Arabidopsis thaliana: one gene and its partner. The protein of the gene in region 2 interacts with the protein of the main gene of each other region in a pairwise test. Each region holds a gene or a part of one and is shown on either strand. Other genes may lie near its edges.

Evidence for each region. Proteins that work in one complex are often made in the same cells at the same time.
Region 1: the proteins of AT5G05190 (region 2) and AT5G19960 interact in a two-hybrid assay, tested with the Arabidopsis thaliana proteins (one large-scale study listed by BioGRID).

What each region holds. Positions count from the first base shown.
Region 1 is NC_003076.8:6,741,811-6,745,564, reverse strand, and holds the start of AT5G19960 (RNA-binding (RRM/RBD/RNP motifs) family protein), read right to left. Parts: upstream 1,688-3,754; 5' UTR 1,537-1,687; coding exon 1,426-1,536; intron 1,185-1,425; coding exon 1,086-1,184; intron 1,049-1,085; exon of another isoform or gene 994-1,048; coding exon 581-993; intron 234-580; coding exon 173-233; intron 103-172; coding exon 49-102; intron 1-48. Other genes in the region: AT5G19950 (tudor domain protein (DUF1767)), read left to right, coding at 1,863-2,144, 2,313-2,480, 2,682-2,895, 3,393-3,611.
Region 2 is NC_003076.8:1,539,515-1,543,268, forward strand, and holds the start of AT5G05190 (hypothetical protein (DUF3133)), read left to right. Parts: upstream 1-1,703; 5' UTR 1,704-2,338; coding exon 2,339-2,459; intron 2,460-2,634; coding exon 2,635-3,754. UniProt on the Arabidopsis thaliana protein: Plays a negative role in salicylic acid (SA)-mediated resistance to powdery mildew (e.g. Golovinomyces cichoracearum). May modulate plant immunity by regulating the relocation of EDR1 by interacting with CHC2 and modulating endocytosis.

The DNA of each region.
Region 1 (3,754 bases), 5.2 Mb from region 2:
AAAATAAATCTACCAACAGCCTATATGCACAGATAAACTACCTCATACCTCATCTCGAAGCGCCTCACGCATCTTAATCAGCGCTTCCAGATCTTCTTTCACCTGTAATAGAAGTTGCAAGTTATAAAATGAATTTATGCAAACACTGCATGGCTAAGAAAATCATCTTTACCTGATGATCTCCACTTGAATTAGAGAAGTGATCTCTGCCACGTCCACCATCAAGAATGGTACTGTCAATCCAACAAGAACACACAAAGATTTAGACATGTTAACAAAACCAAAGCAAGCCAAAACATTCCTCAAACGGTAACATGCACAAAGCCAACAAGAGCAAGAAACTTCCTCAAATCCATTACACTAAAATCGATGATAATTTATCAAACTTAACCACAACAGGTGTGGATGATTTGGTTTAGCGGCGTGACTAAGACTAGCATCCCAGTCTTTGACTCATTCAAACTAGCAGACCAATTTTACAAGAACAACGAATGTCACAATTCAAAGAAACAGGAGGAACACTAAAAGTTTGAAATCCAATGTGAAGTCTACAACTGCATTGTTTTCAACAAAAGTTTACCTATCTTCTCTCTTTGTTTCTTGGCTCCTTCCTTCGTGAGCACTGGTCCCATTTATTCCCCTACCATTATCCACATAAGACCTATCCCCACGCCAATCTCCTTCATCACCATCGAAAACTCTTTCCTTATAACCATTTCTATCTACCATATCATGATCATTCCTCCTCTCAAAATCATGTGAATGCTCATAAGCTCTTTCCTTCTCTATGTAGCGATGATCTTTTCTCCTATCCTGAGACCTATCCCGTTCTCGAGACCTATCACTATACCGATCCCTCTCATAATTACCATCACTTCTCCTATCAGGACTTCTATCCCAACCACCGTGTGGTTGTAACCGCCCCGGACCTGGATTCATTCTTCCACCTCTTGTTGTCACATCATTCACACGCACTGCACGCCCACCAATACTCTGATTACGAGCTCAATACCGTCAACAATATAAACACACCACGTACATGATAATATAAACAAAAGAACAAAACTTTAGCAGTAGAACCATACTTTTCCATCCATATCTTCGATAGCATCATCAGCCGATCGACGGTTCGAAAATGTAACAAAGCCATAGCATTTCCCTCTTACACTCCGGTCATTGACAATCTGAATTCTCAAATAGTACACATATATGTCAATATACACTCTGACCAGCTCACATGTAAGATATATCAACTAGCAATTGGATGTTATCTAAATCACTTGGTCAGTCTTTCTACATAGATATCTACTAAAGCTTATCATCTATAAGATCATACAATAAGATTGGAACTTCAAAATCACGAAACGAATTTGAATCATCCTAATTAAGAAACTTAAATCAGGATATTGAAAAGAGAAAATTAACCTTAACGGTGAGGACGGAGCCGTAAATGGAGAAGACGCGACGGACAGCCTCCTCGGTGATGTCGTAAGGGAGGCCGCCGACGTAGACGGAGTTACCATCGTCCATCGTCATAACTCTTTATCGACTTTGGTCGGAATTCAACAAGGAAAGCAAAGTACTTTAGAAGTCGTACTGTCAGAAATCTTCGTGTTACATATGGGCCATTAGGCCCACTAAAACGAAACCGGAAAATACCTTTTTTATAGGACTTTTTCGAATTACTTTTCTAGTTTTTCTGTTAAAAATGTTCTTCTTTATTGATCAAAACGATTTTATGCAAAAAGTATCATTAGTGAATAGTAATTAGTTTAACTCGATATTGACCATAACAAAATCAATTCTCCAAATTAAAATCTCGTCTTCCCCAATTGGTTTAGCGCGACAAGAGCATCAACGCAATGGTGGGAACATCAAGCTCCTCCGCCGGCGACCACACCCACACCGTCGTGATAAATGCCCTAACTAGTCGGGGCTGGTGCTTCAGAGACGTCGAATACTTGAAATCCCTGGTCACTGAAATCTCTTCCTTGATCGGCGGCGGCAATAAAACAGGCGCCATCGTGGAGTCAGTGGAGGCGGAGCTGCTTAACATGGATATTAAGTTAATCGGAGGTAAATCCCTCCCGGACCCGACCGAGTTACGCAGGTGTTCTCATCTTCAAGGCCCCAAAGTTCTCCAGGTACATTGCTTCAATCAGCTAAAGTCAGTAACAATTGGCATTAGGTCTTCGCTAATTCAATGAGTCACTCTCACTGATATACTTAGATTTAAACTAGTTTCAGAATGCTCAATTGTTGCAGTTGATTCAAGCTGTTGAGTGTTAATTTGTTTTCTTTTGTGAGCATAGATAAGTTATGTTAGGGATGTTACAAGAAGTAGCGCAGAGGAATTTGTGGGAAGTTCCACTGGTAAACGAGTGCTAAAATTCGCTCTGACTGACGGGAAGACCGAAATATCCGCGCTTGAGTACTCTCATATACCAACGATTAACAATGATGTCACTCCTGGTACTAAGGTAGTTCCATTTCCATATCAATCTAATTCAAATTCTCCTTTACTATGTTTCTGAAAGTCTCATGCAAATATAATAGTTTGGATTAAGATCTAAATCAATAGAAAGCTAGTGCACATATGTGTTTGTCATGCATCAGAGGGTGTCATATGCAAATCATAAATCATTTTGTATTGTTGATATTTTGTACTGTCTCGTTGGCAGGTACGTCTAGAAAATAAGGCTGTGATACGTGATGGTCTAGTATGTTTGACTCCAAAAGAGGTGACTGTCTTGGGCGGTTATGTGCAATCACTCACTGAAGAATGGCAGATGAAGAAAAAATACGCTAGTTTGGCTCGATCTCAGGAAAGCAAAGCTGGTGATGGCCCTCCTCCATTTGAGGAGTTGAAGATTCGAACAGGTTCCCATCACCGCGGTAAGCAGGATTTTCTTATTCTCATCATTTTCATTCAGTTTTCTTCTAGTAATTTGTTGCATATTTAGTTCACTTTGAAACGGTTGGCCAATCTTTGCTACCAAATAAAATATCTACCATTTTCTATTTCATGTTGATAGTGTACATAAATATGCATTGACTGCAGCAAGGACTTATTCCATCCAAATGCACTTTAGCATAAACATATTAGTAATTTGACCCGAGCTCCAAAATCCCAATATATCCGTTTATGTAACCTATGACGACTCATGTAGAGGTCTGATCTATGTTTTCCCTTGGCTTTGTGTCCAACATTGGCGCTGTTGGGTCTCCATTGTTTCAATACTTAAACTTGAGTGAATGCATTTTCATTGTGGTAAAATTTATGATCTATTGAATTGTTCTTCCTTTGTGTGGGCTTACATAAAGTATTGTGATGGAAGTTTGGCCAATGCATCAAAAATTTAACTTGTCAGCATATGTTTGTTGGTTGACAGATTACAACAAGACGACTTCTAGAAACAATGTACCTATTGCTGCAGAAAGCTCTGTAAAACATGCCGGTGGAGAAAAAGGTGAAAGTAGTGAAGTTGATGGGAACAAAAGAGGCACAAATAAGAATATACAGAGGAATCCTGCAGATTCTGATCCGAAAATATCTGTCGAAGTTGAAAATCAGGAAAAGCGAAGCAGTTCCGATACACGACCTAAACAAGGTTTGCCATCATCTTTTTCCCTCATCGTCTCAAAAGCTCATTGTACAGCAAAGAACATTAAGGAGCGTTAAATTAGTTTGGCATTTTCATCTGGCAATTGCGTTGAAACCTTAGATGAGATATCAGATATCTATCGTTCATCC
Region 2 (3,754 bases):
CTTTATTTATAATCGGAAATTTTCAAGTAAAAAGAAATAGACTCTCCAAAGCATAGGTAGAATAATTGAATATTCTTATCAATTAAATCGTCTATAGTAGCCAATTATGATTGCAATCGTTGTGCGAATATAACCAGCATGGTATATATCACAAGTTTTTAGTTAGTGAATTTTTTAGTTATTTCAAGAGCTTGTTCTGTAGAATAAACCAAAAACTAAAAGAAAATCCATTCTATTCAATACCATAACTTCATGTGTTCACGAAACATCATGGGAACACAGTAAATAGAAAAACAAAATCAATTTATAACTATATATGAATGTTGTCAAATGGGAGTTGACCTCCAATATTATCTTTTATACATTTGAAACTTTAATTTTGACTTTTTTTTAGTAAGATAGTTTTTGTTCATGTCCTGAATGTTAGGTAACAGCTAGCGATTTGAAATAGAAATAAACATTTACAAACCATGTAGTGGTCCAAACCATTGACTCAATTAAAGAGTCAACGCATAATCGAATTTGTAATCTGTGAAGAAGAAGACTCGAATGGTATTGAACTTGATTTGATTTGATTCGTTTTGTGAATCGTATCCCGTTAGTCATTGGATTGTGCAGAGAAAACAAATATTGAAGCAACCTCTAATTAAGTCTACAAAGAAATAGGACACCACAACAAAGGTTGACTTTTACAGAATCACAAAGCCAAAACGATAATCTAGAAAGTAGAGAAACTAGACAGCACAAAACGATAAAAGACCGAGTCTGTCGACCATTACCTTAGTTTTTTTTCATATCGTTAAAAAATAATGTGATATACATGTACGTTAATACTTAATATATACTATTTGACTTGAGATAGCCCTACAAAACTTTTATTCATTTATTTCTCACAAGTTCCCTAAAACTTTATGAACCAATTTGAAGATTAATATTTTGTTACGTTGCTATCAATTTCAAATTCTTTGTAGGTGCTATATTTGAAAACTGGTTTCATACCTAAAAAGGTTATGAACCAAAGACTCAACTTGTCTGGTTATAAATAAAAGTGATTGAAAACACTCACACGGCTAGTGAATTCTCATTAGAAAAATGAAAAGTTCGTTAAATTCGACCAGTGATATAAATATATATACGAAAAACATATGATCATTATGCTTTTTGTCAGGTCCTAGAAATAAATATGTGGAACCCAATTCATTTCAACATTCACGGTAATTTAATTTCCCTTGGCAACATTTAGTCATTTACCGGAATATTCAAACTTCGAATGTTAGGAAATATTTAAGAAGGTAATGGTAAAAAGTAAGAAAAAAAGGACTGGGATCAATAAATGAGAAAAATGGAAGTAGTAGTGGGGCTAAAATTTCTCTATCCAAAATAAATGAAACAGGCGCCGACATTAACAACACCATTCCATTTATAACTCTTTATCCAAATTTTTATTTAGCTGAACCCAATTTACTCTTTCTCTTATCTTCCTCTACTTAATTCTTCTAACAAAGCTCTGTTGCAGATGCTTTCTTTAGAAAAAAATTGGGCCAATATTGTTTATTGAAAAGATCAACAACAGACTGGGTTTTGTTTAAGAAAGAATAGTGATTAGAGAACGAGTCGTTGATGTTCTAATTGACTTGCAAGAATGAAAAAAGATACCAAAAAATTCCTCAAAGAGATATTAAAAAGAAAAAACTTTTTAGACACGGAAAAAGAGAGACTTTTCTCAGAGGAAAAAAACAAGAAAAGAGAGAAACCATAGTAAAAAAAAAAAAAAAACTGTCTGTCCAACGATTTGTTTTTGTTTTTTTGTCTCTGTTCTCTCAATTCTTCTTCTTCTTCTTCTACTTCGCCCCCACGACAAGAAATTCTCCTCTCTATTTCTATCTCATTCTTTCTCTCTCTCTCTATAAAATCTTCAACTTCTGGGTTTATTCTTCCACAATCCCTCGAGTTATAATAACTCTCTGCAAAGAGTTTTACTTTGATTCTTCTGTGGAGGATCTTACACAATTTTCATGGCTTCTTGAATCATGTAATCTTTTCCTTCTCGCCATTTTTCATCTCTACCCGGATCCGTAACCAGCTCTCAGACCAGACCCGGGTTATACCATTTCTCCTCCTTAAAAGTCACACCGCGTTGACCTTCTTCCTCTGGTCTCCTCTCCCATTTTCTTTTAAAGAACTTCACAAAGTTTCAATCTTTTACTTTGGTTCCTCTCTCTCTCTCTGTTTATTAGGGTTCTGGGTTCTGTTGATGATGATTCTCTAACTAATGAGGTAGAGTTATAACCCAAAAATAACAAAAGTAGAGTTAAGTCTTTGAAATTTGGTACCAACAATGGCGAGCCAGACGGGTCAGAAAATTCGGTTGGTGAGGTGTCCCAAGTGCTTGAAGATTCTACAGGAAGACGAAGATGTTCCTGTTTATCAGTGCGGTGGTTGTTCCGCCATTCTTCAAGGTAACTTTCTTTCCATTTCGATTTTGCCTCTGATTATAATGTGAACTCTGTCCCTGAATCTGGCTTTGTTCTACTCCTGGTTGTCCATCTGTTTGGATGTCTGAGCTCAAACCAGTTGTGTTTTGTGGCATGATCTCTTTCATTATTAAATTTGGTTGTTGCTTCTTTGATTCAGCGAAAAGGCGGAACATTGCTCCAAGCAGTACACCAAGTGCAGGAGAGACAGAGAGGGCTCAAGCCAATGAGCCGCAAAGCGTACCTGAAACCAACAATGTGTCCAGCAGCTCGGGGCAGGACACGGTTCTGCCGTCATCTCCAGGTCGTTCCGTGGACCAAGAGTATGAGAAAGGTAGGAATGCATCCATGGAGTCTACGGAGAAGGAGCTTGATGACTTAGAGTTATCTAATGGAGATGGGACAAATGAAATTCAAGAGCAGGAATGTTCACTTGGTGATTCTGAGAAGAATGAAAGAGAAGACAACTCCAGATTGGAGTCTCATATGATGAACACCGTAGCAGAAGCTGCAGGATCTGGATCTAGCTCTGGAAGCTTGAGCGTTGATCATGTGGTGGCTGCAAGAGCGAGTAATCCATCCGGTAACTCTGAGATTTCACCGGATGCTTCCCCCGTAGAAGAGAAGCAAAGCCAACTTGACATTCTTGCAAACAAGACTCCTTCTGCTTATGATGTGGTGGCTGCAAGAGCGAGTAATTCATCTGGCAATGCTGAGATCTCACCTGATGCTTCCCCTGTTGAAGAGAAGCAAAGCCAACTTGATTATCCTGCAAACAAGACTTCTTCTGCTTATGATGGGAGTGAGTCTTCCTCTGACGAAAGGGAAGGCCAACTTCTCGATGATGACGAACAATGGAATGCTCTTCAGAAAATAAGATCAGGCAAATTTGAGATGCATAGATACCCTGGGTATAAGGAGCAAGGCGCTAGTTCCTCCTCCCCTTTCTCTGAGAATAGGCGCAATGGGATTACCACATACAACGAGCGGCATCAGAACAGGTCTCTACAGCTAGAGGGACCAGGAGGGCGCCTTGGCAGACAAGGGAGGAGACATGTGACAGAACAACTTCGGCCTGACATGCCTTTCTATCCGAGAGAATCATACACACGTGGAAGCCCTTCCCATCCGTCACATGATGAGTTTGATCGCTATCCCCGTGCACACTCACTTCAAATGCCTTCATACGCTGGAGGCATGAACCACGATTTTGTTGACTATATGTATCACAACAACCCAAGGGCAAGAGGTCAGGGCCAAGGAAGTAGGATCTCAGGTGA